Linked DNA regions of Schizosaccharomyces pombe. Changing the gene in region 2 together with the main gene of any one other region gives a genetic interaction. Each region holds a gene or a part of one and is shown on either strand. Other genes may lie near its edges.

The links.
Region 1: mutations in fan1 (region 2) and pso2 impair growth when combined (synthetic growth defect), as found in Schizosaccharomyces pombe (2 studies listed by BioGRID).
Region 3: mutations in fan1 (region 2) and rad13 impair growth when combined (synthetic growth defect), as found in Schizosaccharomyces pombe (one study listed by BioGRID).

What each region holds. Positions count from the first base shown.
Region 1 is NC_003424.3:1,155,987-1,161,306, reverse strand, and holds pso2 (DNA 5' exonuclease), read left to right. Parts: upstream 1-1,824; 5' UTR 1,825-2,514; coding exon 2,515-4,197; 3' UTR 4,198-4,820; downstream 4,821-5,320. Other genes in the region: COP9/signalosome complex subunit Csn4, read left to right, coding at 1-1,088; protein mug103, read left to right, coding at 1,307-1,681. UniProt on the Schizosaccharomyces pombe protein: Required for DNA interstrand cross-link repair. This requires cleavage of cross-linked DNA to generate DNA double strand breaks (DSBs).
Region 2 is NC_003423.3:1,005,966-1,017,201, forward strand, and holds fan1 (fanconi-associated nuclease 1), read right to left. Parts: upstream 7,141-11,236; 5' UTR 6,748-7,140; coding exon 4,636-6,747; 3' UTR 4,383-4,635; downstream 1-4,382. Other genes in the region: cut3 (condensin complex SMC subunit Smc4), read right to left, coding at 1-498; erv2 (sulfhydryl oxidase), read left to right, coding at 2,053-2,631; protein Cwf25, read right to left, coding at 2,834-3,929, 3,992-4,026; prp2 (U2 small nuclear RNA auxiliary factor small subunit, U2AF-59), read left to right, coding at 7,590-9,143; tif1102 (translation initiation factor eIF1A-like), read right to left, coding at 9,367-9,451, 9,504-9,802; lsd1 (histone demethylase SWIRM1), read right to left, coding at 10,035-11,236.
Region 3 is NC_003423.3:2,668,761-2,681,069, reverse strand, and holds rad13 (DNA repair nuclease Rad13), read left to right. Parts: upstream 1-4,500; 5' UTR 4,501-4,712; coding exon 4,713-8,051; 3' UTR 8,052-8,080; downstream 8,081-12,309. Other genes in the region: SPOM_SPBC3E7.11C (DNAJ domain-containing protein type Caj1/Djp1), read left to right, coding at 1-637; methionine aminopeptidase Fma1, read right to left, coding at 897-1,852, 1,913-1,958, 2,008-2,028, 2,081-2,197; SPOM_SPBC3E7.09 (Sad1-UNC-like protein), read right to left, coding at 2,474-4,453; SPOM_SPBC3E7.07C (uncharacterized protein), read left to right, coding at 8,326-8,373, 8,419-8,430, 8,492-8,519, 8,563-8,617, 8,673-8,896, 9,035-9,111; vacuolar amino acid transmembrane transporter Fnx2, read left to right, coding at 11,130-12,309. UniProt on the Schizosaccharomyces pombe protein: Single-stranded DNA endonuclease involved in excision repair of DNA damaged with UV light, bulky adducts, or cross-linking agents. Essential for the incision step of excision-repair.

The DNA.
Region 1 (5,320 bases), on a different chromosome or scaffold from region 2:
CACAGTTTCGAGAAGCATTAGCTTTGCATTATACAAATGAAAAAGAGCTATTTGAGCAAGCGAAGAGATGTTTAAATATTTGTTGCGGCAGCAACAACTTTGCAAAACGGAACGACGTTTTGTTTTCTTTACTTGATGTTGCAGTTAGCATTTCGTCTCTTGAGTTACGGAAAGAGTTAATATCTGAATTATATGTTCCAGTACAGTCGTTAGAGGAGGCACCTTCAGAATATTTGGTTTCCTGTTGTTTACAATTAGCCACTATTTATGAAGCTGAGCAAAATTTTGAGCTTTTATGTTCTTCATTGGAAGCTGTCGAAAAACATGGTCATTTTGAAAACGACCTAGAGCAACTCTTGTTATTAAGAATTCGTTTAGGAGATGCTTATTTAAAGTTAGGAAAAGCTGAAAAAGCAATTTTAACCGTAAGGACAAGTATACCATTGGCATTTAAAGTTAGTAATGATCAATTGCTAATGGAACTTCAACTTTGCAATGCTCGCGCTCTCGATGAAACAGGACAATTCCTAGAAGCTGCGAAATGTTACTATCGGGTACTTCAATATAAAGTACCTGGAAATGAACTAATTTATAGAGAGAACTTGTGTTCAGTAGCTCAATGTTTACTTCTAGCGATTCCTTCTCCTATTGTTTTGCAGTTCCTCCAAGAAATCTCTCTCCAACCATCCGTCCGAGAAATCCCGTTTTATTCTCTAGTCGAAAAGTACCTTAAAAGAAAGTTTATCGGAAAAGAGGACGGAGCCTTTCTGTTGCCTTTTCTACTTCCTCACCAAGTAATTCATATGAATAGATTGATAGAGGATGGTCGACATTTTTTGGAAACGAATATCCTTTTTCTTTCAGAGTTTTTTGAAGTTTCTTCTACATCTATACTTGCAAAACACTTTAAACTTTCTGAGGAACAGGTTGATACAGTTGTTGCTGATATGGTGATACAAGAACGATTGAATGCTTCAATCGATCAATGTGAAGGATACATTACTTTTTTGCCAGAGTATGGAAAAGCAAACAATCTTCCTAATTATGTTAATAAAATTGCAACCGTTCTTCAACATTACGGTTCTTAGACCAAATGTGAAAAAAAAAACTGTTTTATAGTTCATCTATTTTATTCATTTAAAATAATATTTATTGTATAATGTCATAGAAATATTGACGTTCTTATTTGTATCTTTTTCACCTCGTGGTCGCTAATGTTTGTTTACATTATAAGTAACTTCCCTCTCTGCCTGTTCTTATATTATTTACATGTGCTTGTAACTCCAATTCGCAGTACCAATTGGTAATGGAGCAATTTGAGATAATCAGAGAATCGGATGCTGATCCTTACTACTTTAATAAAAATCTTCGACTAGAAGAATGCGAAATTGACGGGTTTACATCAATTTATAAAGCTCCACCTCCATATTCTTTTGTCGCTGGTCTAAGTAAAAATACTTCTTCTAACAGTTTTGTAATCCACAAATGTCTTCCACCTTTGCAAAGGAACAATACAATTAGAAAAAGAAAGCGAAATCCTTTTCTAGCTGACAGACCTTATTGTATCAACAGTGAGGACATGCCTTTAAGTGATGACCGAGATATGTTAAAGGAACGACACGTCAAATCGCGAAAACTTTTATTAAAGGAAAAAGGAAATCGTTTTTACCGTAGAAGTTGATTTTTATAATTATTACCACCTGTTTCTAACTGTTTGTCTTAAAACTCCTTCGCATGTTGATGATTTGTTTTAAGGAGCTTGAGCGAAGACTACTTTATGCTTGCCAAGAGGGTTTTTTTTAAGTGTTTTGCCTTGAACTGTGCAATTGCAAGGCTTTTCAGTAACAGGCCTTATTGCCATTGTAGGCCATTAAGAAAGTAAAAGGAAAAAAAATTAAAATCATTAAGGAACGCTAAGCTGCAGTGAAAGTATATTTCTCACTAGCTTCTCCAAATCGAAGTTTTTTGTAAATAAAACGCATTTTCGTGAATAATCGATGCTTTTTTTTTAAGGTGTTTTTTTCTTTTTTTTTCATTACTTCAATTTTCAGTTATTACCCTTCCTTAGGTATACTTCTTTTTTTTACATTTTAGACCAGATCCTGACCGACCAATTTTGGATCATCCAGCGTCACATAATAATTCATCCATAACACTTTTTAATACTTTGAAATTTATAGTTAGAGGTAAAGTTTCTAAATCTGTTTCCTTTGTTTTTTCGTTTTGATCTTTCAAAGGCATACCTAATATTCTACGACTTCTCATACACATTGTACATTAGAAAAAGTCGCTCTTGACGTCTACTCGCCGTTTCCTTAACTTCAAGACTTCTTTTAAGCGATTCTTGCGGATTTATCGTGTCTTTCCTCGAATAATAGCTTTCATTATTAAGCTAAACGAAACTTTACAACTTTTGAAATAACTTCCTTTAAAAGAATTCAATCACTTACTGTTGTTGCTTATACACCAAAAAACAAAAAACTAATAATTTTGCCTTTGTTTACGTTCACTGAAATGAGTAAACGAAAGTCATCGTCTATTTTAGATTTTTTTAAAAAATCTAATAATGGCAAAAACATGTGGGGTAATGAAGCTGTTTCTGTTGAAAAAACTGATTCCACCACCAAGCCCTCTACAGTAAAAAATGCAATTTCAAGTTCCCAAATAAAAAATGAGAAATTCTCACAGGAAGTCTTATTACAATTCAATGATCCAAGTTTCACTTCTGAAGTGGGTGAGTCTCCTCAATGGCAATCTTTTGGGGATGCTAACATCTTAGAACCTTTAAAAAATGAGCTGGTTAAAAACGAGGAGTCAACCATGTCTGAATTGCTTCTTTGTCCAATATGTGGAATAACTTTGGAGTCTTTAACTGTCGATGCCAATATACATGTCAATGACTGCCTAGACGGGAGAACAACGGAAGCTGTTTCAAAAAAGCTGAAGAAAGACTCTGTCGTTAAAGCCGATCCTTCGAATTCGAGTACATTCCCAATATCTGATTCCTGTAAACAGGCGTTATTACCTTTACCTGGAAAGCAAATTAATGTTCGGTCTGTTGTTCCTTTCTATAAATTAATGCCTTATAATATTCCTTTTGCCGTTGACGCATTTGCTTACGGTGCCATTGATGGTGTTGAAGCTTATTTTTTGTCACACTTTCATTCTGATCACTATGGCGGTTTAACTCCAAAATGGAAGCACGGTCCTATTTACTGTTCAGAAGTAACAGGAAATCTTTTAATAAATGTCATGCATGTTGATGAACAATATGTGAAGCGTCTCAAACTAAATCAACCATATAATATAATGGGTATTACTGTATATGTTTTGGATGCTAATCATTGTCCAGGATCAGCTATGTTTGTTTTTGAAACGCTTCAGAGTAATCAAACAAGACGTGTTCTTCACTGTGGAGATTTCCGCGCTTCTAAGGATCACGTTATGCATCCTGTTTTACGAGAGAAGACCATTCATAAAGTTTATTTGGACACTACATACTTGAATCCTAAATATACTTTTCCACCCCAAGCGGATGTTGTTCAAGCTTGCGCCGACAAAGCAATATCTATCAAGAAGTCAACAGATTCTAGGCTTTTGGTAGTAGTTAGCACTTATAGCATCGGGAAAGAAAAAGTAGCCGTTGCTATTGCAAAATCTCTTTCTTCACGGATTTATGTGGTTCCTCGAAAAATGCATATTATTAAACAACTTGAAAATCAAGATTTAATAGATTTATTAACGGATGATCCTACGCAAGCTTCCGTACATATGGTCACTATGATGGGAATACATCCGAATTCGCTTCTTGACTATTTGGAACAATACAATAGTTCCTTTGATAAGATCATAGGGTACAAAGTTACTGGCTGGACATTTCAACCCTTGGAAAATCGTGCACAACTTAGCAGTAGCTTAGACTCGATAATTTCCAGACCACCGAAATTTGTGGAATACGATTTAAGAGCGATTAGAGGAAGCACCGACAAAGTGGCAGCTTTTGTAGCCCCTTACAGTGAACACTCGAGCTTTTATGATTTAACTATGTTTTGTCTGTCGATGAACATTGGACATATTATCCCAACTGTAAATGTGGGTAGTCAACGGTCTCGTGAAAAGATGAATGTATGGCTAGATCGTTGGGCTTGGCGCCGAAAGAAACAAGGCCTACTTTCATTGGAAAATGTGGATTGGTAAACCAAAATCTACCACAATAATTTTCCTTTCTGTTTCTTTTAGGGTTATACGAGCTTGTCTGTAGCTATTATTTATGGTTCTTATAATTAATGTTAATGTGAGCAAAATGTTTTTGTATGTATGCTTTACTATGCCAATCCTTTATCCTTCTATATTTTATTTTTTTTTTTAGTTTCAGGAGTGCTAATACAAGATTATACAAAAAAATGACACCAAAGTGTAGGTGTATATTCATTTAAATCAAACTATGAGCTTGCAAATAATCCAAAACTTTTAAACTTTCTTTGAGCTTCGTTTTTTTATGATCGAATACTTAACATTAGTTCATTTAGGCTAATTTTCTATTTTTTTTAATTATAATAATAGAGCAATCTACAACGAATTGTCATCAAATAAACACCTTTCATTATAAAACACATCATCAATTTTTTTTCTAATTTTTTTGTAATAGCATTCGCCATTGATGAACGATGAACCTTAGTATAAAAAATTCTCATAAAACATTGCCCCGAGAGTTGAAACATCATAGGCGAAGGAGCTCAAGATTCAAATTTCCACTACAGAGAAACAACGAAAATAATTTAATGGAAAAAAAATCAAGCTACTCATAAATAACCAAAAAAAAATTCCAACAGTCCAGCAAAGGGTGTTAAGAGAGAAGAAAAATAAAATAAAATAAAAAAATATATAACAAAATTATAAAAAGTAATAACAAAAAGACAGTAAAAAATGATTGAAATATGAAATATTGTTGGGATTTATGGAAGCCTAGTCAACAAAAGACTGACTAAAACAAAGTTATTGTAGTTGAATACAGATAAAGATATGAAATTATCAATAAATAATTTCTTCCCAATGAATCTATAGGTAATTAATACCCGTAATTAACAGATTTAGCAAGTCATAAAATTCTCCCACTCCAAAAGGTGGCATAAAATAAACTAGGATCCAAAATAAATAGCAACATAACTTTGATAATAGCAGTATAGAAATTTGATATCCAATATAACTCAAAGATGGAAAGCATGAATGCCTATCAGTCCAGAGTATATATGAATTATGCGATGAGTCTTGATGTTGTTCGTTTCAAACAAAACAAAATATCGAAAAAAAATAGTTAAAA
Region 2 (11,236 bases):
ATCGATAACATTAGATTTCCCAGAGCCATTTGGTCCAACAATTGAAGAAAAAGAAGGATGAAACGGACCCACTATCTGAGTTCCTGCATATGATTTAAAATTTGTTAGGCGTAGCTCGTAAACAACCAGTCTAGGAGGAAGAACCTGAGTGGTTTCTTCACAATTCTCAATATCCTCTGTAGTAGTAAATTCTGACACAAGTTGTGAACTCCGTTCATTGAAACCTGTTGATTTAGATGGAGTGCCATCTTGAGCAGACATAAATTTGTTGAGCAAATTAGGGCGTTCGTTTAAAGAATCGGTAATTCTTTTTTTTAAAAAGTCATTGAAAAATGGGCGAGATGGTGTTTGCTCTATCTTGACAATTGATGCGACATCTTTCTGAGAAGGAGATTCTAGCACTGAGCGAACCAACTTTCGTGGCCTTTCACCACGATCTGGCGTAACATCCACAATCGAGGGTGTTGAAGACGTTCGAAAGATGCCCTTGTCAGACATAAAGATAGTATCTTCAACAAATTATATATTACTTAAAATTCTAAAAGAGTGGGTGGTCGTGAAAAGAGGTGTGTTGTTTACAACGGTTGAACAGCATTTCACCCAACGATGAAGTCAATTAATGAATAAAATATACAAAAACCCACAGTTAAATTACACTAAAGCCCATGTTTATAAACTAAAGACTGAAGTATAATTGTGTAAACAGGTCATGTTAGATGAAAATGATCTATTTATTTTATACCTACACACCTGATTTAAAGGAAGACTTCAAACATCTTTTTACCTGTAATTATAAACTCATGTGTCTATTATACATTAAATTATTATGCTAGTCAATTTGGTATTCTTGGACGTTGAAAGTTAACTCAAAACGAAAATTAAGTAAAAGAGAATATTGCTCTGACACTTTACACTAGCAAAATATTAAAAGGACGAGCAGAATACATTGCTGTTTCTAAGTTTTTACTAGCACAAGCAAACATCCTCTTTCAATTCACACAATAAATATAAAGCTCAAAGATTTTTTGTTCTGTATTCCTTCATTAAATCTAGCAAGACGACGCAAAAATTTACCTTGTTTGGGTAGCCCTATGTGTGAAATAACCACGAATAAAGAATAATCAGTAAGTAATATAAATAGATTAGCTCTTTAAATGAAATGTTAATGCAAGGAAACGATTTGTCCAAGTTTTTTAGAACAACTTTTCAAATTCACTATTGTTTTGTATTTTTTTAGCTTTAAACTTGACAAGCCTTTTGCCATATGTTAATTTAACCCAAAATTCTTACATTTTGATTTAAACTAATCAAACGCAAATTCATATCTTCAAGCAATTGCAAGTAATTTATCTTTAAAACATTTAAATCTGTAAACATAGATTATTATATGCTATCTATGCTCACTTGATAACTTAGCTAAACTCTTCCTTCTTTATTTATTTATTTATTTTTTAAACAAAAACTAACAAGTCCTCTTAGTTTTTATTTATTTACGTTAAGTTTCTTTTTTTTAGTAAATAATTCCAAACTTAAAAAAAATTTTATAGTGATAAAACCTAGCAATGGACTTTATAATAATGATACTTTAGTTAATTTTTTTGTTGTTATTTGGTTATATCTCTATCACTAAACTACATATTTATTAACTATTAACTATACTTATAATTAAAACTCTTCTGAGTCTTAAAATAAAAAGCATATAGAATTGATATAAAAGATATTTAATATCTAAAAAAAAAATTAAAGGGTTGGCAATACATTTATCTAAATCAATTTGGTAATGCATTGGATCATCCAGCAGCCTGTTCCATCTTACTACTTTAAAAGTTTTTCTGTTAATTAGCATTAGATATAACGATGCACTCGCTCTGTATAACCCAGGAGGTTAGTTTTGTTTACCATCAATTCCTTCTCGTTATTGCAACATAGCGATGCCGCATATCAGATCAAAAAAGCCGCGTGAGTTTCTGTCCTTGCAGTTCTCCTTTACAATTAATTTGGTAGATGAAGGTGTTCTTACGGGGAAAACGAAGTAGCTAAATACTATAAAACATGATCCTTAATAGAAGAATTCAGGTGATTCTCCCTACCCTACTAATCTTATCGTTTATTATATGGATCTTTCACAGTGTTATGGTAGACAAAGATTGGCGTCTGTTTATGCCTGAAATTAAATCGCTTCCGGATCGAGAAGGTCAAGGTAGAAAACCAATTGAGATGATGTCCACGAAGCACGATAATAACACGAATAATTTAATGGTAAATGCATACTGGAAGTTAATTCATACGGTTGTTTCCAATTATCCAAACAGACCAACATTAGATGAGCGAGATATCTTAAGACATTATCTATTTTCTTCCGCTATTACAATGCCATGTGGTGAATACTCTGTGGAACTCCAAAAGATACTAGATGTACATCCTCCACAAACAAGTTCTCGAAAAGCAGCAACTACGTGGGCTTGCAAAGTACACAATCAATTAAATGAGAAAATGAATCAACCAAAGACATCATGCGATGGATTTAATGAGAGATATGTAATCGGATCGCCGACCTATCGCGAAAGCGAAGCTGAAAATGTTCCTGAACGGGTACAAGTAATTAACGAAGATCACGACTATTCTGGTTGATAACAATGGTTAATTTTAAGAATTCATGTATTATTAAAAAATATTACCGTCTATCATGCAATGCATTTGGATGTTAAGCTATTTATTTAATGAACCCTAAACTGATATGTTCAACTGTTTACCACCGTCATTTCCACTCATTATTCAGAAATGTTATATCGTTATGCATCAAAGTTATATTAGAAAAAACATAGAAATCACGTTACGGCCTTAACATGTTATGTCGGCTACTATTCACACGATCTGCCAAGCTTACAGAATCACCAGAGTAGATCTCTTTTCTCATATTTCTGATAAAATCTCCTTGGTTATCCCATTTTCTTGCGGTATCGCGTCTCTCTTTTTCCAAAAACTGTTCTTCATCTCTTTCTTTCTTTTCCAATAGTTCAATTTTTTTTCTTCGTGACTCATCTAATTCCTTAGCATTGTCTTGCATTTTCTGTAAACGGCTTTCTATATCGGTATGCCTTTGAGTGATAGGTTGCGAGTCTCGAGAATGAAATTGGTGATTTCGAGTCCTGAAATCCGGAGATGGTGAACGAGAATATTGTCTGCTTGTTCGCACATATTTTTTTAGGTCTCTTTCATCTTGAAAATGACCCTGATCAAAGCGCATATCATCATCGTAATGTTTCTTGAAATAACCAGAGTCATATTTATCTCGATGCCGATAGCGATCATTGTGTGTGCGTTCTCTCCAATTATTTCGGTCATTACGGTAGCTTCTTCTTGAATGCTCCCTTTTGTCAGAAGAATGTTGTTCATTATCTGACCTTTCCCTGCTTCTGTCTTGATTGCTTCGATGATGACGATCGCGGTGCCGCCGTTCTTTCGACTTTCTATCAGAGTCTAAAGAGTATTTCCTTTTTTCCATAAGCGTTTGTAGTTGTTTTTGTTCTTGTTGCTTGATTGCAAGTAAAGGATCTAGTCGCAACTTTGCCTGTGTGTCTTGTAGGGAGTTCGCGTTTTGAAGAGCGATAAACTCTGTTTTTTCTAATGAATTATTTTGATCCTCTATCTTGTCCTTTAAAAGATCATCTAGACGTCGCCTTCCAAGCAAATATTCTTCCATTTCTGAAGAGTCACGATTGGGTCCATTCGTGTTAGGAACTGCATACATCCACTCAACTCTGTCTTTTCTTTTTTTTCCACCAGCAGCTTCTTGTAGCCGATGTAATTCCAATAGTTGACGTTCTTCTTCAATTTCTCGCCTAAGTTGCTCGACTCGCTTCATCTCTTCTTTGTGAGCTTGCTCATCTTTCCAAACTTTTTCCTGGTTCCTCATTAGCAGAGGATGCCTAATCATAATATTAGTAAAACATCTTTAAACAATTATATTAATGCAAATAAATCCACTTACCAGCTTTTCTTCATATTTAGATCTCCACCACCCATTTTGAATTACTAATAAGAGTTGTTTAAATTTCAAAATAAAATTGAGAGGAAAATCCACTAATTGTTTTATTTTTAGGATTAAAAACCACAATTCTCAAAAAGTGGCTATTAATACAAAAAATTGAGTCTCGCTTTACCTGTGACTCATAGTGTTTTGCAAACATATACACTAAATTACTTGGGTAACATGTTACCCAAGAATAGAAAGTCAAGCTTGCGAATTCTGAGACCAATCAATAATAATCACGTTCAGATTTCTTAGTATTTTAGCTATAACTAAGTCATTGATAAACGTAAGTTCTATTTCACTTTAAACTGATTAAAAAGCAATGTATCATTAAAAATCCTACTTGATTATGAATGTGATTTTAAACAAATTGGTATACAGCATGAAAACATGGGTTGAAACTTAATTATATACTGGAATAGAATATGTGAATTCAGTCCAATAAGTTGCATATTATATACTTAATCCATTCAAAATCAATCAACATTTCTAAAATGAGAAATGACTAAGTTATTCTCCTTGGCAAAACGATGGTAATTCAGCAAGCAAAGTGTAATTTACATAAGCTATGCATTTAATGAAAAGATTAACAATCACGTTTTTTATTTTTTTTTGTGCATGGAGACATGACAAACTTCAACATCAACTTCACTGGATATTAGTAATGATATCCAGAATTTTTGCGCTTCTGAGAGCCTATCATTATCGCTTTTAACTTCTGAAAACATAAATTTTTTTTTAGACGGATTCCACAAACATAAATCAGGTATCCCGCTAGAACTATTTTTATAATCTTGGGTCAAAGCAAGAAATATTTGGGCGAGTCCATTATCGTTGATACAATCGACAATTTCAAGAAGCATTTCGCAAGTATACGACCAATTAAGACCTACACAAAATGTTTTTCTTTGGTGCTCTCTGATATAATTATCTTTTATAATTAGGCCAGCTTTCCCATTTCTTATTTCCTCAAGTCTTTTCATGATTGTCGATTCTCTAGATATATAAAAGGAATCAGTGTGCAAATCCAAAGGTGCACTTTGAAACGGAGATTGAAAAACACCAGGAACGTCCTCAAACAAAATATCCCAGAATGTCAAAGCAAACAAAGTTAGCAAAATGCTGCTTTCAGCATGTATACCTTCCCACCCAATCGATTGATAATGTTGAAGAGCAAGCTCTTCAACTGTGATAGCATTATTAGTCTTGCTACGCCAAACAGTCCGGTTTGAAAGGTCACCGTTATGTATTCGTTCACCATGAAGAAAAAGTCTTGAAGGATTATTATTTATAAGTTTCATGCTTTTTAATTCGGTAGTATTAGAGACTTTTAAACACTTCCGTAAGCGAACAAGTCTCCTTTGTAAGCTAAAGTAATATCTGAGGTGGGTATACTTGTCTTCAATACCATTTTCACAAGTTGATAAAGCAAGCGTTTTCCAATAACGCAAAACGTTAGTATCCTCAGTTTTAAAGTTGTATTCCAGTAAGGCTTTTCTATTATACCAATGTCCTCTTTTACCCACCAAATATATATTTTGAGATAAAAGGGTATCTAATATTTCATGTTCAACCTCAACTAATCGCGACTTCGCGAGAATATTTAGACTTTTATGTATTAAGTATGTGTAAACAGCACCAGGACGAAAGCTAAAAGAAAACCTTACCAATCGAGTATCTACTTTTCTATTTTCTTCCACCCAAAATTCCCTAATGTCTTCATTTAGATATGTCGACCATATAGGATATATTTCAAAAAAACTGTTCAACGCTTGTTCGAGTGCTTCCTTATCCGAAGCGGCAGTGTTTTCAAAGATTGGAACCAAGTTTTTTGAAAGTTCTAAAACCTCAACGTATTCAAGGCATTGAGCACGACAATTAAAGACGTTTGAAGTTCGCGATAAAACGTAATTCGGGTAGGAAAATTTGTTAAGGCGTGCTAATATTAAAGACGTAAGCGATTGTTCATCATAAATGGACGAACGAAAGTACACAATATTAATTCGATGAAATAGGTCTACTAAAATTTTCTTTGGTTTCACACAGGATTTGCATTGATATAATAGTTGCTTCCGAAGAAACGACTCTTGCTTATGCATCACACCAAAAGCATCAAAGGACAAAAATTGTTGACCATTACAATGTAGTACTGATTGTCTTTTAGATAGGAAAATGATTTCTTTTGAAATTTCAGACCTGCTTTTTCCACACACCTTCGTTTGTCTAGCTAACGAACGCAATTCATCGAGAGATAGAATTTCAATTATTTCTTCAGTTGACATGAGTGATTCATCTTCAAAAAAATTTTTCAGAACAAGCTGCTTACAGCAGGCAATAACATCCTTGCAATCTGGATAAGTCAAATGGCCCACGCGGAACCATTTATTTCTTTTACGCATGAATAGACGAACAAACAAGTACCGTTCATCCGAGTCTAAAGCTTTAAAGTTTTCAATAACCCTCAACTCATCATCAGTAAAGATATGCGGTTCACAATCGAGGACGGTGTTTAGGATTTCTTCGAACCCCAGCAGATACATTGAATTTTTAGTAGAATATACATTGTGCTTATTAGTATTGGCAACTTGTCCTTTAACTGTTGTCTCTGGTGCTTGACATACAACTTTTAAGGGAGGGAAACATAACTTGTTCTCGTTTACCCCAGATTTATCTGGAGTGTTTATGTCGCACGCTTCATTAAAGAATCGTTTCATGAATTTTTAGATATCACAGCAGCGCGACTGAATAAGTGCACAAGATGATGGCCGTAAGTAAACAAATATTTAAAAAAAAGAGCGGCTTTTACAACAATGGAAAGCTAGTATGAAAATAAATAATAATAAATTTTGAATGAATGTAAACGTCTTCTTGTGTAATAAAGTAAATTTTTAAAAGATTGAACATACAATTTAAGAGCATGGATTTCAAGGATAAAATGAGACAAACATTAAATCTATCGTGGATGTACTGGCAAAAAAAAAACGAAAATTATTGAATTTCATGGCAGCTGTAAATTTTTAAAGATTGCTTTAAAAGAAAGCCATACAATCAAATACTATGGTCAAAAGAGAAAAATTCGTTAAAACTTAGGAGAATGGTACTAGGGTAAGGACAACAGTTTAAATAAATGCTTTTGAAAATTTAACTGCATTCGTAAGTTACAGTGTTGTCTATAATGCAAGTTTAGCGAAAGTTGCTATTTGAAACTAAAAAGAAAATGTAAGTCAACAACGTTGTGCTTAAAATTACGACGCTGGCGAAGTTACTACAAACTCTCACTACCTTAACTTAGTAAGTCGAAACTTTTGACTAACCTTGGGCGTATCACATAAAGAAAAAATAAGTTAATTATTATTGTTCATGTTATAAATTTTTTTTAGCAAGGAATCCAAGAGCATTGACGCGCATATCATTTCATTAGAATTTGTACTTTTGTATTCCCTACTTTCATCAAAGTTTTTTCCGGAGAATTTAAGAGTTCATTTTAATAAACGAATTTCTTCCCTCCCTTCTTTTTTGAATAATTTTTTAAATAGCCTCATATTCATTCACTAACATGGATTTGTCTTCCAGATTATCATCAGGTTCTTCACGGATACCCAAGCGACACAGAGATTATCGCGATGAAGAACCTAGACGAGAAAGAGGTTCGGGTGGGATAGGAAGGGAAGACCCGAGAGGCCATTATGGCTCTGAACGACCTAGAAGACGTCGCCGAGACGAAAGTGATTTTCGTAGACATAGAGAATCTCGTGAAAGAAGTTATCGAGAGGATGAGAGGCCAAGAAGAGAAAGAAGATATGATGATTATGAGCCTCGATCATTACGTTATTCATCTGTCGGAAGAAGTAGAAGTCCACCTCCCAGCCGAGAAAGAAGCGTAAGGTCTATCGAACAGGAACTCGAACAATTGAGAGATGTAACACCAATAAATCAGTGGAAAAGGAAGCGCTCTTTATGGGACATTAAACCACCTGGTTATGAATTGGTTACTGCTGACCAGGCGAAAATGTCTGGTGTTTTTCCTTTGCCAGGCGCTCCTAGAGCTGCAGTTACTGATCCAGAGAAATTGCTAGAATTTGCTCGCTCTGCGGAAGGAAGTATTATTGCTCCCCCTCCGCCCTTACAACCAGGTGCTAGCAGACAGGCTCGTCGACTAGTGGTTACTGGAATTCCTAACGAATTCGTTGAAGATGCTTTTGTATCATTTATCGAAGATCTATTTATTTCAACTACATACCATAAACCCGAGACAAAGCATTTCTCCTCTGTCAACGTCTGTAAAGAAGAAAACTTTGCTATTCTTGAGGTCGCTACTCCTGAAGATGCCACCTTCCTCTGGGGGCTTCAGTCCGAATCATATTCTAATGATGTCTTTTTAAAATTTCAAAGAATTCAAAATTACATCGTCCCTCAAATTACCCCCGAAGTTTCTCAAAAAAGAAGTGATGATTATGCCAAGAACGACGTTTTAGATTCAAAAGACAAAATTTACATTTCAAATTTACCTTTAAATTTAGGCGAAGATCAAGTGGTGGAGCTACTTAAGCCTTTCGGTGATTTATTAAGCTTTCAATTGATAAAAAATATTGCAGATGGATCTTCGAAGGGTTTTTGTTTTTGCGAATTTAAAAATCCTTCTGATGCGGAAGTAGCTATCAGCGGTCTTGATGGTAAAGATACGTATGGGAACAAGTTACACGCACAATTTGCTTGTGTAGGTCTCAATCAAGCTATGATAGATAAGTCTAATGGAATGGCCATTTTGACAGAACTTGCTAAGGCGTCATCACAATCTATTCCAACTAGAGTCTTACAATTACATAATTTAATTACTGGGGACGAAATTATGGATGTACAAGAATATGAAGACATATATGAGTCTGTAAAGACCCAATTTTCGAATTATGGACCACTTATAGATATAAAAATTCCTCGTAGTATTGGCACTAGAAACTCGGGATTAGGAACTGGAAAGGTTTTTGTACGATACTCCGATATCAGATCTGCAGAGGTCGCAATGGAAGAGATGAAAGGTTGTAAATTTAATGATCGCACGATTGTCATTGCTTTTTATGGTGAGGATTGCTATAAAGCTAATGCATGGTGATTTCAGTTTCAATGAAAAGGTTAGTATAATATCTTAATGTTAGGGTAATAATATCAGTATTTCTCATTGGATTGTTTAAAGTGTAACAAAGTACTCAATTGTAATGAGCGATTGTGGGATGAAGTAATTCTTGCAAGCATTTCCCGTTATACGCTTTTTATCATCGGTTTAATTTACAAGGTTCGTTGTAAGGATTCTTAATATATGTATTTTTTGTAAATTGTTAGTCACTATCGTATTCTTCCTCGCTACTGCTGCTTTCCTCAGAATCGTTTTGATTTAACGATTCATCTGCAAACTCTTTAGGCCTTTAAACTAGTTAGCACAATCATCTAATGTTATTTCAAGAGAATTTCTTACCAATAAATTTGTTTTTTCCAATTTTTTAAAGGGCTTTGTACCACGTACAATATAGTACCGTCAATTTTATTGTCCTTCTCTAAAAACTCAGATTTATCAACTATTACAAACCCATTTCTCCTAACCCATATTTTATTACGATACTTTGGAGGCATCTCAACAAGTAATTCCTGTCCATTGTTTTCTACTACCATAAAAAGCGCAGATCCTTTAAGTTGCACAACTTTGGCGACGACTTGATCTTTTTCCAACCTAGCTGGTGGATCAAACGAAATTTGACCGCCATATTTTTTTGACATATTAGTATTTCTCTAAAGAGCTCGTATATATGTGATAACCAAGCAAATCGTAGAGAATTGGGTTTATGGTGGTTAGGAAGCTTCGACAAGTGGATTTACAAGATGATATGCATTTCATAAATGTCATTCCTTTCTATGAAAAAATAAAATTTAGTATACCATTATAACTTAAACGTAAAAATTGATCTTTATCTCATATAAACTACCCTTAAAAAAAAACTTTAAATGAAGCTCATGAGAAATTGTCAGGGAATACTTCACTTATTGAATCCTCATAATCTAAATCATCATGATAATCATCATCACTATTTTCAACGGACATGCCCTCTTTTTCAGGATGTAGATGTTCGTCCTCTTGTTCAGCAAGTAATTTTAACTTAGCCTCATCTTCAGGAATTGGTTGAGATTCACATCTTCGCTGATGTTCGGATTTAATTTGGGCAACTCTCACATTGTAGGAATTAATTTGACGTTGATACTCTTCCAGGCGAGTTGAATAATTTGCTCGTCTCGCGTTAATTTCATCAACCCATGGTTGTTTACCTAAACTATCCAAGGCTCGCCATGTCTTTCCCAATTTTGCACGTATCTCATTTTTTGTGGCACGTGCTTCAGGATCGCCAGTAACTCTTTGTTTATCCTGATCTGCTAGAGTTTTACAAACGTGCCATTGAGTTTTTTGGTACAAAAGGTAAGGATTAGCACTAGGCCTTGATGGTGGAACAGGAGACGGTCCCAATAATTCGGCAATTAGTAAATCACATTCTTGCTGTTCTTTATCAAGTCTTTTTTGTCTCAAGCGTAAATACTCGGTATGGTATGAAATGCGCTTTTCCTTATTTTCTCTTTCTCCCTCTTTGCCTAAAGCTTGTTGAGCATTTCGCTTCGTGCCGTACGTTTTACGGGGTTGTTCCAAGTTTTCCTCAATAACGAGAGTGTTAGGTAAAACAACATTGCCTATTAACGAAGCCAAAACATCTCTAGCAGCCAGTATGCCCGAATCAAATGCGCCGCGTATCGAACCTGAATTTTTTTGGGAAATTGCTTCACTAGCAAAAAACACAGTATTGTCAATGGGCTCAGACAATATTGCATAATCCTCTTCCAAAAACAAATTGGATATTTGATATGATGAGTGATTTGTATAAGAATTATTCTCCCAGTTACTGATAATCGTTCGAATAGGATTTATGGCTTCTGATTTCGGTTTATAAACTTTTTTAAGTTGAGATACAATCCCATTCACTATATCATCATCCTTCATAAAGTCGATCCCTTCAACCTTCACAAAGACTGATAATGTGGGATGTTCGTAAAATCGAGTGCAATCGTTAAATATAAAGTTTCTACCTGAATCTTGTGGTAGTGAACCAAATATACTTATGTTTGGTTCCCAGAATTGGGTTTTAAAAATGAGGATAACCTTTTTCACAT
Region 3 (12,309 bases), 1.7 Mb from region 2:
AGCCGACCGTCTATTGCAAGAAAGAATAGACGTATTATGTAAAAATCTTTTGGATAAACTTTCTATATGGACTGAAACCGATATGTCTGATAGAGTGACTGATGCTTTCAAACAGAAAATGCAATTTGAAGCAGAATTACTAAAAGATGAGTCATTTGGGAATGAAATGCTTCATGCGATTGGTTCCACATATGTGCAACGTGCGAACATACTTATCCAATCCCAATCTTTTTTGGGTATCAGAGGTGTATGGGGAAGTCTTTGTGCAAAAGGAACTTTATTGAAAGACACTTGGAATACGGTTGTTAGTGCTGTAGATGTTCAGTCCTCTGCAGCTGCGTTAGCAAAAGCAGAAGAAGGTGAAGAGCAATGGTCCAAAGAAAAAAGAGATGAAGCTGCCCGTGAACTAACTGGTAAAGTTTTATCTGCAACATGGAAAGGAACGCGTTTTGAAGTTCAAAGTGTGATAAGAACTGTGAGCGACAAGATTCTTTATGATAAAGCTGTTCCTCTTGAGAAAAGGATAAATCGCGCTAATGCCTTGCTTATGATAGGTCAGGTATTTCTGAAAGTCGCGCCAAACGAAAAGAGTGACGCTAATTATTTTGAAGACTTAATGAACGACAGAGGTAAATAGTCATTATTGGATTTACGTAATAAAGGTTAGTGATTGTTGGAAATTGGTTCATAGTCGACTACGAAGGCTTTTGATTTGGGTATGCACCTCACATTTTTCAGCAAGTATGTAATATAGTCAATGTGTTTGTACAAGTGTCATTATTCTGGTTAAAGGAAGGAAATCTCATATATAATTCTTTCAGCCTTTTACTTATAAATTTCATATACAAAGAAAAATTTTCTGCTTTTATTTTAATTCATGTTGGGTATATCAAAATTTATTTTAAGGGCCCTCCAGGTGAATTGGGGAGTCTGGCTGTTAAAACTTCACAACCAGTCTCTGTAACTAACAGTGTATGTTCGAATTGAGCAGAACAGCGTCCAGATGCAGTTGAACTAGTCCAATCATCCGGCCAGGTAATGTCTCGGGCGGGACCTAGAGTAAGCATAGGTTCGATTGTAAAAGTCATTCCTGGGCGAGCAATTCCAGGTGCCTTGTTGTGGGAATAATGAGGAATACTAGGAGAACAGTGAAATAACTGGTTGATTCCATGTCCACAATATGTGCGGACGACAGAAATCTGCTTCTCAGTAATGCTATTTGTATGCTTTTCAATAATATTTCCGAATTCCTGAAACAATACTCCCGGTTTTACCGCAGCAATTGCTTTATCCAAAGCAATTCTCGTATTTTCTACAAGGCAAACGAGGTCAGGATTTGCTTTTGCTTTATCTCCAACATAGTAAGTCTCATTTAGGTCACCATGAAAACCGTTATGGTAAAGGGAAACATCAATGTTTACAATATCACCATCCTCAAGTGGCCTTTGATCTGGAATTCCGTGACAGATGATTTCGTTCACAGAAGTACAAACACTTTTTGGGAACGCGTAATAGTTAAGGGTGCTTGGAAAACAATCACGTTCAATGCATGCATTATGAACAATACTATCAAGTTCATCGGTAGTTGTTCCAGGACGGACGGCAGCAGCGGCAGCATCAAGTACCTCTCTACCAAGTCTACATACTTTACGCATACCTTCCTGCTCCTTGGGTGTCAATCTCTTCAGTTTGAAGCTTCGACCTTCAATTTGCTCGCTACGAGAGACTCCTGTCTTCGCATAGTCAGGTCTTTTTATATGTGGAGGAACCTTGCGTATAGGCGAAAGCGGATAAACTGGTTTCAATGAACCTGCGAAATGAAATTTTGGGAAAGGATTGTAAGTTCCATCCTCTGATGAACAAATTAGAAAAACGCTTGAAAATAAAAGCTATATACTTTTGTTGTACGTACCTCTCTTTTCTACATTCGGTGGACGATGAAGATGTTTGTGAATATTCTGGATTACCTAGTGTTAATTTACGTTACACGAAATTTTCTTGTATTACCCAGCTGTTCCTGAAGCATTCCTTTTTTTTTTTGAATTAGTAAATACGTAAACTAACAGAAAAACTAAATTACCTGTCCACAAAAGTAAGATTTAACTCCGTCATTTAGACATTTGGGACATTGCAGTCTGTCAGCTTCATTATTACAATCTATACCGCAACAAATATGTTTTGCAATTTCAGTAGCCATATAAATACTTTGTCTTAAGGGTATCACTCGCCTTAGTTTCTAGACTCGAGAATTTCTAGTCACACTAGTGCTTCGTAGCCGTGAAGTACATTAATGTCGTTGGAACCTATATAACCCAATGCCACTCTTTAAAGTTATGATTTTTGCAAAACTAAAAAAATAACTTTAATATATGCTTTTCAGTTTTTAAATAAATAATTCATTTTTCTAATTTTAATATGAATTTAAATCATTAACTTATGAAAAAATATGGAAGTTTCACAATACATTCTATGATTAGCATACTGAATGGCTCCTAGAATGTATAATTTTATCTTGTTCTCTTTCGTGTATACTGCGTATGCTGGTATTTGGATCTCGCTTTTTTCTTTGCAGTAGTTCAGGTCCAACGGTATAAACCGCTGAGGAAGCGCTAACGCGAAAATCGTTGGCCTTCGAAATATCTTGCTCGTCACGTGAAAAAGGTGGTCTTGAAGCCTCAATAGGGTTGTTTGAAGATGAACGGGTTGTTGGCAGATTTTCTGGAAGCCTCGATACGGCCATATACACTGTTAAAACGATTAGAACCGTGAGTTGAAGCATTAAAAGTCGCTTTTGAAAAGATGATTCTTGATATAGTGAAGTAATTTGACTCTGAAAGTATTCATTTTCTGCAGAAAGAAGCTCAAGTTTAGCTTGGAGAGCAAACAAAGACGGCTTAACGACACTTTTCGACAATTTCGAAATTTCTAATTGAAGGGTCGAGTTCAATTCATGTAATAGCTGCGTAAAATTCATGTTTTTGGCATTGTGCTTACCATAATTTGTTAATATTTTTTCTACAATTTCATCAAATGCCTTCTTCCGTTCTTCTAAGGTAGAAAGACGCTTATTTATGTTTTTGTAAATGCTTTCCTGATTAGAAGGAAAGGTAGATATTTGAGCGGTACTGTAAGAAGATGAAGAAGATGGAGAAATATCGTTAAAAGAGCGAGTTGATGTTGCAGGATATGATTCACTTTTTCCTGTTTCATTTCCTATAACAACAGTGCTCAAAGACTTAGATATCACAGTAGAAGAAAGTAAGGTGTCTGTACTATTCAACTCGACTGATGGATTCTTTCTCACTGGTTTGCTTTGAACATCGGTATCTTCTTCGTCCACAAAAATAGGACTTTCTTGAGGCTTCCGGATTTCATCTGCTTTAATAGCGCTTCCGTCGTTCACTTTTTGTTCTAAGAAGTCTTCATTTGCTTCTTCAAATTCTTCTATCATAGTTTTTCCATAAACCCTAAGTAGGCTTACAGGACAATAAAATTCTGACCCATAATGAGTTAAAAACTCTATTTTAAGATACTTCGCCCAAATAAGAGGGTTCTCAATATGAAAAGATTGAAGAGTCCTTAGGTTTAAGGCCGTAAATGTACCCAATTCCATCCAAGAAGACTCGTATTTTGGATATTTACCGCTTACACTGACCTTGAAATCACGAAATATACTTGAAAAAAATTCGAAGTTGGCAATTTGAACTGTATCGACATAAATATCCTCACAAAGTTCAATTACCACGAACTTGTTTTCAGCGGAACATTTGTTCAGCATATATTTGTCTTTGTTTTCGGTCAGAATCGAAGAAGATCCGACTGCTTCAGGATTTGTTTTAATGACAGCAGCAGCGCAGTCAGTTGAAGCAAAGTTGAATCTTTTTTCTTCTGAGAATGCAACAGTCTTTTCATCTATATTTGAATCAATTGTAGCTGCTGCTGAAGTAGAGGAACCATCCTCAGAAATTGGTAGAGTAACCGAAGAACTAGTAATAATATTAGTATCAATAACTTCCGTTACAGAATAGTTTTGCTCTAGCTTCTTTGAGGATGAAATTGTAGACGTCTCGTTCACCAATGGTGGGCTAATTGAATCTATAAATTCGCTAGTACTTGTTCCATTGGAATATTCATATTTTGACAAAAAATTAGAAGAAATGGTATCACTTCCATTCAAACTCGTTTTTGTGTGAAACGAAGGTTCCTGGTACTTATTTGTGGGAGTGAAATCCCATGTTGTAGGGTTGCTAGCTTCTTTTTCTTCAGATTTGGTAGCAATCACAGAAAGGTACGCATCACATACCAAATTTTCGTTATGCGTATCTGGTGACTTCAAACACAATGCCGGATATTTACACCAATGACTCGTTTGTGGAGAGCAGCAGCATAACCGAAATATAATAAAATAAATTAAAAAGGCATTTCCAAATGCAGACAATCTTCTTTTGACCATATGATTTAGGCAGCCCTATCAGTTTAATGTGGTAATTGGCTCAAGTCAAGTGCCACACACTAAAGTGTTAGCATCAATCATCGCACATGCCCTTGTTTTATCGCTTTGTTGGTAAAACATGTCTTTTATAACGATTTTAATTAAAAAAGAAGAAAAAGGGTAAAGAAAAAGGCTTGCTTTAATCACATTTCTTCGTATAATAATCAAAAATAAAGTCGTCTACAACGAAACTTCTTGACATCGCATATAATATTTTGCAATGGGGGTTTCAGGTCTTTGGGATATTTTAGAACCGGTAAAAAGGCCTGTCAAGCTAGAAACACTTGTTAACAAACGGTTGGCAATTGACGCTTCAATTTGGATTTATCAATTCTTAAAGGCCGTACGTGACAAAGAAGGAAACCAGCTGAAAAGCAGTCATGTTGTAGGATTTTTTAGAAGGATATGCAAACTATTATTTTTTGGGATTAAACCTGTATTTGTTTTTGATGGAGGAGCGCCGTCATTGAAACGCCAAACTATCCAAAAAAGACAAGCCAGAAGACTCGACAGGGAGGAAAATGCCACGGTCACGGCCAATAAACTTCTGGCTTTGCAAATGAGGCATCAGGCAATGCTTTTAGAGGAAAATAATAAAAAAGCTACTGCATTGGCAAATGCCTCGGTTCAAAATGAGAGACAAATGCCTTCATCTATGACATTGGATAATTCAGAAATTAAGCCAGTACTTAATCAAAGAAAAAATTATTTGAAGCCTGATCCATACCAACTACCTGAAATGGACGTTTCGTTTGATAAGTTAGGGTCGAGTTACGACCCTCGAATTATGTCCCAGGATGAGCTTACACAATATGTCTCTAGTTTTACTAAAATTGAAGATATAAATTTATTTGATTTTTCAAATATTGATTTTGACTCTGAATTATTTCAATCATTACCCGATACGGATAAATATAGTATTTTAAGTGCAGCAAGATTACGCTCTCGTTTACGAATGGGTTTAAGCTCTGAACAACTTTCCGAGATGTTTCCTAATAGAATGGATTTCTCTCGTTTTCAAATTGAGAGACTGAAGGAACGTAACGATTTAACTCAGAGATTAATGGACTTTACTGGAATGAATGAGTTTGGACCCTCTAGAGTAGTAAGTGAAAAAAACCGAGAATATATTTTAGTAAAAAACGAAGGTGCTGAAGGTGGATGGGCTCTCGGTGTTATCTCAGGATCTACAAACAATGAACCTATTATTATTGATGATGAGGCTACAAAACTTAGCAGCAATCTTATAGACGAAGACGAGGATGAGGCATTCTACGATGTGCCTTTACCTAGCCGATCTCATAGCATGAACCCTAGAGAATTGGTAGCCGCTAAATTAAAGGAAATAAAAGAAAATTCATTTTCGGAAAATCAGCAATCAGATGAAGCAGATTATAATGTTACTGATGATTTAATACTTCAATTAGCAACCCAGCAATCTCTAGAGGAAAACAAAAAATCAAAAGAGCTGTTTAGTCTTTCGGCTTCTGAGTTTGATAAGTTGAATAGCGAGAAAAAGACGTTTGAAATTTTGTCGACCGATATTCCTGCAGAGGATTCAATGAATTCACTTCTTAACGACGAGGAAAATTTGAAACTTGAACATGTTGGAGATGTTTCCAATGATTCATTAGCATTCGCGGAAAAAAAGCATCCTGAAAATGGGACTTCAATTTTTATGGATGCCCTTCCATCTGCGAGTAGAGAGAAAAAAACCAATGATTTAATTGATCCTTTACCTTTTCAGCCTATGGATTGGGGAAAGTCTATTTTTTTCGAGAAATTAAAGAAACCAACTGAAACATTTATGGATTCTAAAACTGATATACCAAGTGAGGCACCGGATAATTCTAAACTTGTGGAAGATACAAATTTACATACTATTAATGCAACAGTTAATATTGAATCCGATTTAGACGCTGCTAAACCTGGAATTGAAAATCCAATTATTTCACCTCTTCTTCCGGTAAAAGATGATGAAAAAGATTTAGACTTACGTGAACTCAATCCTTTGGAACCCTTTGAGAATATGAAAGAACAAGCTGATGATGGCACAGTTACCAACCCATTAAATGTTTCTAGTGATAAGGCCATGTCAGTGTATTTATTGAGCTCCGAAAATGCTAAGGATACTGGGGATATCAAATCCGAATCAATTGACGCTGTTCTTCCTACTTTAGAGACCAGCAGCCCTTCACTTAGCATTCCAACTGACTTTCAAAAAGAAGCCTCTCCAAATAAAGGAGCTGCTGCCTTGAGTTCGAAAGTAGAGCCTGAAGTGGTTGAAAAACTTTTAGATGAGGAAGAAGAGGAAATGATTATCAGGATGGCAGAAGAAGAAAAGGAATATGATCGGTTTGTTTCAGAACTCAATCAACGACATGAAACTGAAGAGTGGAATCAAGAGGCCTTTGAAAAAAGGTTGAAAGAGCTCAAAAATCAAAAAAGGTCTGAAAAACGTGATGCGGATGAGGTCACTCAAGTAATGATTAAAGAATGTCAAGAACTTCTGCGTTTATTTGGCTTACCATATATCGTTGCTCCTCAAGAAGCAGAAGCCCAGTGTTCTAAACTTTTGGAGCTAAAGCTGGTTGATGGGATTGTTACTGATGACTCAGACGTGTTTCTTTTTGGTGGAACTCGGGTATATCGAAATATGTTTAATCAGAACAAATTTGTCGAACTCTATTTAATGGATGATATGAAAAGAGAATTTAATGTGAATCAAATGGATTTAATTAAGTTGGCACATCTTTTGGGAAGTGATTATACTATGGGACTTTCTAGGGTAGGTCCAGTTCTTGCACTGGAGATTTTACATGAATTTCCTGGTGACACTGGACTTTTTGAATTTAAAAAATGGTTTCAACGTTTATCAACTGGACACGCATCAAAAAATGATGTTAATACGCCAGTAAAAAAGAGAATTAACAAGTTGGTTGGAAAAATTATTTTACCATCAGAATTTCCTAATCCGTTAGTTGATGAAGCTTATCTTCATCCGGCCGTGGATGATAGCAAGCAATCGTTTCAATGGGGCATACCCGACCTTGACGAGTTACGCCAGTTTTTGATGGCTACTGTGGGTTGGTCAAAACAACGAACTAATGAAGTTTTACTTCCGGTTATACAAGACATGCATAAAAAGCAATTCGTGGGTACACAGTCCAATTTGACTCAGTTTTTTGAAGGTGGTAATACTAATGTATATGCGCCGAGAGTTGCATACCATTTTAAGAGTAAACGGCTTGAAAATGCTCTTTCATCTTTTAAAAATCAGATTAGCAATCAAAGCCCAATGAGTGAAGAAATTCAGGCAGACGCAGATGCATTTGGTGAATCTAAAGGATCAGATGAACTACAAAGCCGTATTCTTAGAAGGAAGAAAATGATGGCAAGCAAAAATTCCTCTGATTCAGATTCAGACTCTGAAGATAACTTTTTAGCAAGTTTAACTCCGAAGACGAATTCTTCTTCAATTTCTATTGAGAATCTACCTAGAAAAACCAAGCTTAGTACTAGCTTACTAAAAAAACCCAGCAAAAGAAGAAGAAAATAAGTTTAATAAATTATTTATTTATTTGTTTACTTAACTGGTTGTTCCTATAAAAGAAGTTACTGTAATTTTTTGTTGAGTAAATTTTTTTGAGTTTTCCTGCTGTAACTGTGTTTAGACAAAGTAATTGAGCAACATAGCTTATATTTTGTGATTTATTCGTGTTTTGATTATTTACAATTTTTCTTGCTCTTTGTTACCTTACCTAATGTCACTTTCTACTACAACCTACTTAGCAGCAGTAAAGTAAAAACGGAGAAACAGAATATTTTTCGAAATGTTAAGTACAAAAATTGATGCGGAAAATGCGGAAAATGCCGCCGAGGTAAGCCTTGGTTATTATTTATTTAATAATACTTACAGATTTTAGATTGAAATGCAGGTACGTGGTTGTAGAAAGTATTTAGTTTTGGTAAAGCATGTACTGATTTAAAAAATTTTAGTTTGCAGTAAAAGCTGTTGAACAGGCTCGTAAGTTGAGCAAAATATGATGGAATAAAAAATAACAATTTAGAAATATACTGGAGTCTTTTGGAAATGCGCAAGGGAAGCGAGTTAAAGCTGACAAAGTAAGTATATATTTACATCTTTAATTTAAAGTTCAAATTGCTTACTATTGAATAGATACGATGATGAGATTTTTGAAGATTTAATAAACACCTTCCCCGAGTTTAAAGACCCTAAAACAGCTTCTTTTGTTAATGAGGATGAAATGAAGTCCGCCAAAGGAAAAGCTGCCTGGCGTCCATTTTTAATGCGCTATGAAAAGAAGGTTGACGATTACAATTTTGGTACTCTTCTTCGTATTAAGAATACTGATGAGTATGAGCAAGAAACGACTATTTTTGGTATGTACTAGGAATCAAATTTAATGGTCTAAGAAACATGGCCATTTTTTAAGTGCCATTTTTTTAAAAAAAATCGTTTATGCGATCCATGAATTTCCATATTTTAATGTTCTATTTTATTTAGCTAACAAGTCTTAGTCCCTCGTATGCAATTTTTGGCCTACGAAATCGCCCGTAATAGATACGGTTTGAACGATTGGATTAAAAAAGATTAGACCTTGTTAATAAATATTACAACTCATCCAAATTTTTCTGAAGGAAGTATTTGTACAAATGATTGCTCCGTAGTTAGATAACATATACATTGGTTTTTCCTAATGTACAATTACAATTCAGAATAAAATCAAAACAAGTGGATGAAGGTCATATTTCCTTCTCTTATAAACGTATATCAAACAAAATTCATAGTGCTTGAGTAAGAAAATGTTATTTTTTCTAAAGTTACTAATTGAGAATTGTGACAAGTAAACAACAAAACCAAAGAGACCAGATTTCCTATGCTAATCAGAGTGATGTTTACAATTAAATCCGTCCTGATTATTCGACGTTTTTTTTTTTTCTAACAAAGTGACTCACAACTTGTTTAGATTTCTAGATATTGTGTAAGGAAATAATTTTTGCTAAAAGTAAACACTTTAAAGAAATGATACTAATAATATGAAGGACTGCAAACTTTATATTTGAGTATAATAATTCTTATAATTATATGAGAACAAAGTGCATAGATTTACTTCAGTGCAAACACAGATATAAAATTGTGTCGAGCTTTATGTTTCTAACTTCTAATAGCGAATCTTTAACCCATTGAGCATTTCAATTATGTAGCACTATTTCATACGTAAGGGCTGCATACTTATTAACTATTTTTTTTCAGAAATCTCAACTTGAATTTTACTAATTCATGTATTTACAGTTAGCAAGATGCTTCTTTTTTTTCGTAATCATTTGAGATGTAAGACGCCGGTTAAGAATTTGTGGGATAAACAAAAGAAATTACGAGGACCACTTACTTAGTCTATAAGTTGATTTTGCCGACCATAGTAAAGGTAACTGCATAAAATTATTGGTATTTAATTCTACCTTACAGAATCTCGAGAATTACTATATACTTAAAAAGAATTTCATGTACTTTTTCTGCAAAATAATTACAAAATATTGATGAATTTATTACTGGTCAATAAACCACGAATCAGTATACCCACTAAAAGCAAAATTTCGGTTCGCTTGTAAAAATAACAAAAAAAAAATATTATTATTAATAATAACAATGAGTTTCGAAAGTTCAGAATTCATTTGAACGAAACAATTGCGTATTTAAATTTCACAATTAAGCAAAATACTTGAAGTTATCAACAAAGGGTCCATTCTGCGTTTCAGGTGCATTTCATATTCTTTGACTTTTTATGAAGCAAATGCGAAGTTACACAGAAGCAACTATTTTTCAAGCAAGTTTGTTTGAGCTCACACCTAATTTGAATATATAGATTAGATATAATTTGTTCATCTTGTAATTTTACTTATAGATCAGAATGCTTTGTTAAGAATATAATCATCTATTTGATTACAGATCCATTCAATGAGCAAATTAACTAAACATATGTATTTCAAAATTCAAACCCATATAAGTTAATAGTTTCAGTTAGTAAACCAAGTGATTTTATGCGACTGAAAAGGATTTCCGATAAATAAAAATTGGTAAACGCATTCATTTATTTCACCAATCTCGGCATCCTTTGCAAGTTAAGATATGCATTACAAATTTTTGATGTTTTTATTTTACAGTAGTTGGTTATCTATGAGACGTACACATCTCAAAGAATGACAATCACTTGCATATTTTTTTACTTGGAGGAGCTACATATTAAAATTTTCGAAGAGCCAATTTTTTTATATTTGACCGAGCCTTCAATGGCGCTAATAACCGACTTGAAAACGCAAGTTGGTATAATACTATAGATTTATGACGAGACTTCGGGAGCGTATCCGAGCACACTGTCCCGTATCTAACCGGACTTTGTTTACCGAAATGATAAGATAATAGATGTTAGCGAGAAGTATACAAATTTAAGTAAGGGAGGCAGTCATAACATTTACTAACAAATGCACTACCACTGAAGTTCTTTCATTTTGTACGATTTAGGATTCGCATATATTCATAAATTTCAGATTTTGTCGTCTCGAAACACTCCTTACTTATTCATGTGCATTCATCCAATTGTAGCTAATTAATCGAATGTCGAACCCAAGAACCAAATCTCCTAATACAAACAGAGGTCAAGGATTACGTTCAGAGCGCTCAGCTCTCTTGAATGACTCTCTGTCTTCATTAAATGGAAACTCATCATATGACTCTATCAAAGATTCTTCCAAAAACAACAAGGATGTTGCTGAAGTGAACGAGTACCCTCGTAGGCCAGAATCTTCAGTGTCTGTAGTTAGCAATTCGCCTCATCGCCAGGATGCAGCGACGACTAATACTGTGTCTACAGTTTCTGTTTCCAAAGTTCTTCCGGCGTTATTGTTGGGTGTTGTTTTGGCTGCTTTAGACAATACCATTGTCGCCTCTACGTATACGAAAATTGGTGCCGAATTTGGAAAGTTTAGTCAAGTTTCATGGACCGCTACAGCATACATGATATCTTGCACTGCGTTCCAACCATTGTTCGGAAAATTTTGCGATATCTATGGGAGGAAAAAGACTCTTCTGGCGGCTTACTGTGTATTTGGAATAGGCTGCTTCCTTTGTGGTACTTCTCGCTCTTTATGGCAGCTAGTAGCAGCTCGAGCTATTGCTGGAATTGGTGGAGGAGGCATGAATTCGACTGTAAGCATTTTAATGAGCGATATCGTGCCTTTAAAACAAAGAGGAACTTACCAAGGAATTATAAATGTATTTTTTGCTATCGGTTCAAGCCTTGGCGGACCAGTGGGTGGTTACTTTGCCGATCAATATACTTGGAGAATTGGTTTTTTAATTCAGGTTCCCTTAATTGCTATCGCCTTTTTGTGTGTTTACTTTACTCTTAATCTTCCCCATCACAACCACGTAAGTTTCATGACCAGATTTCGGAAAATTGATTTGAAAGGTCTGATCTTGCTAATTATTGGTGTCACAACGATGACTTGTGCTTTTACCTTAGGTGGAAATGTTAGAGAATGGAATGATCCTGTTGTTATTTCTTTGCTGATCGCTTCTTCTATTTCATATCTTTCATTTGTTTACGTAGAAGCGTTTGTGGCTTTTGAGCCGCTGGCGCCAATGGATGTTCTTACTGAGAGAACCTGCCTTTCATCATATCTTTGCAATTTCTTTCACTCCGTTGCTAACTTTGGCTGGATTTATGGAATGCCGCTTTTTTTTCAATCCATAAAAAATGAAGGTGCTGAGAAATCTGGCATTAGACTGATACCAA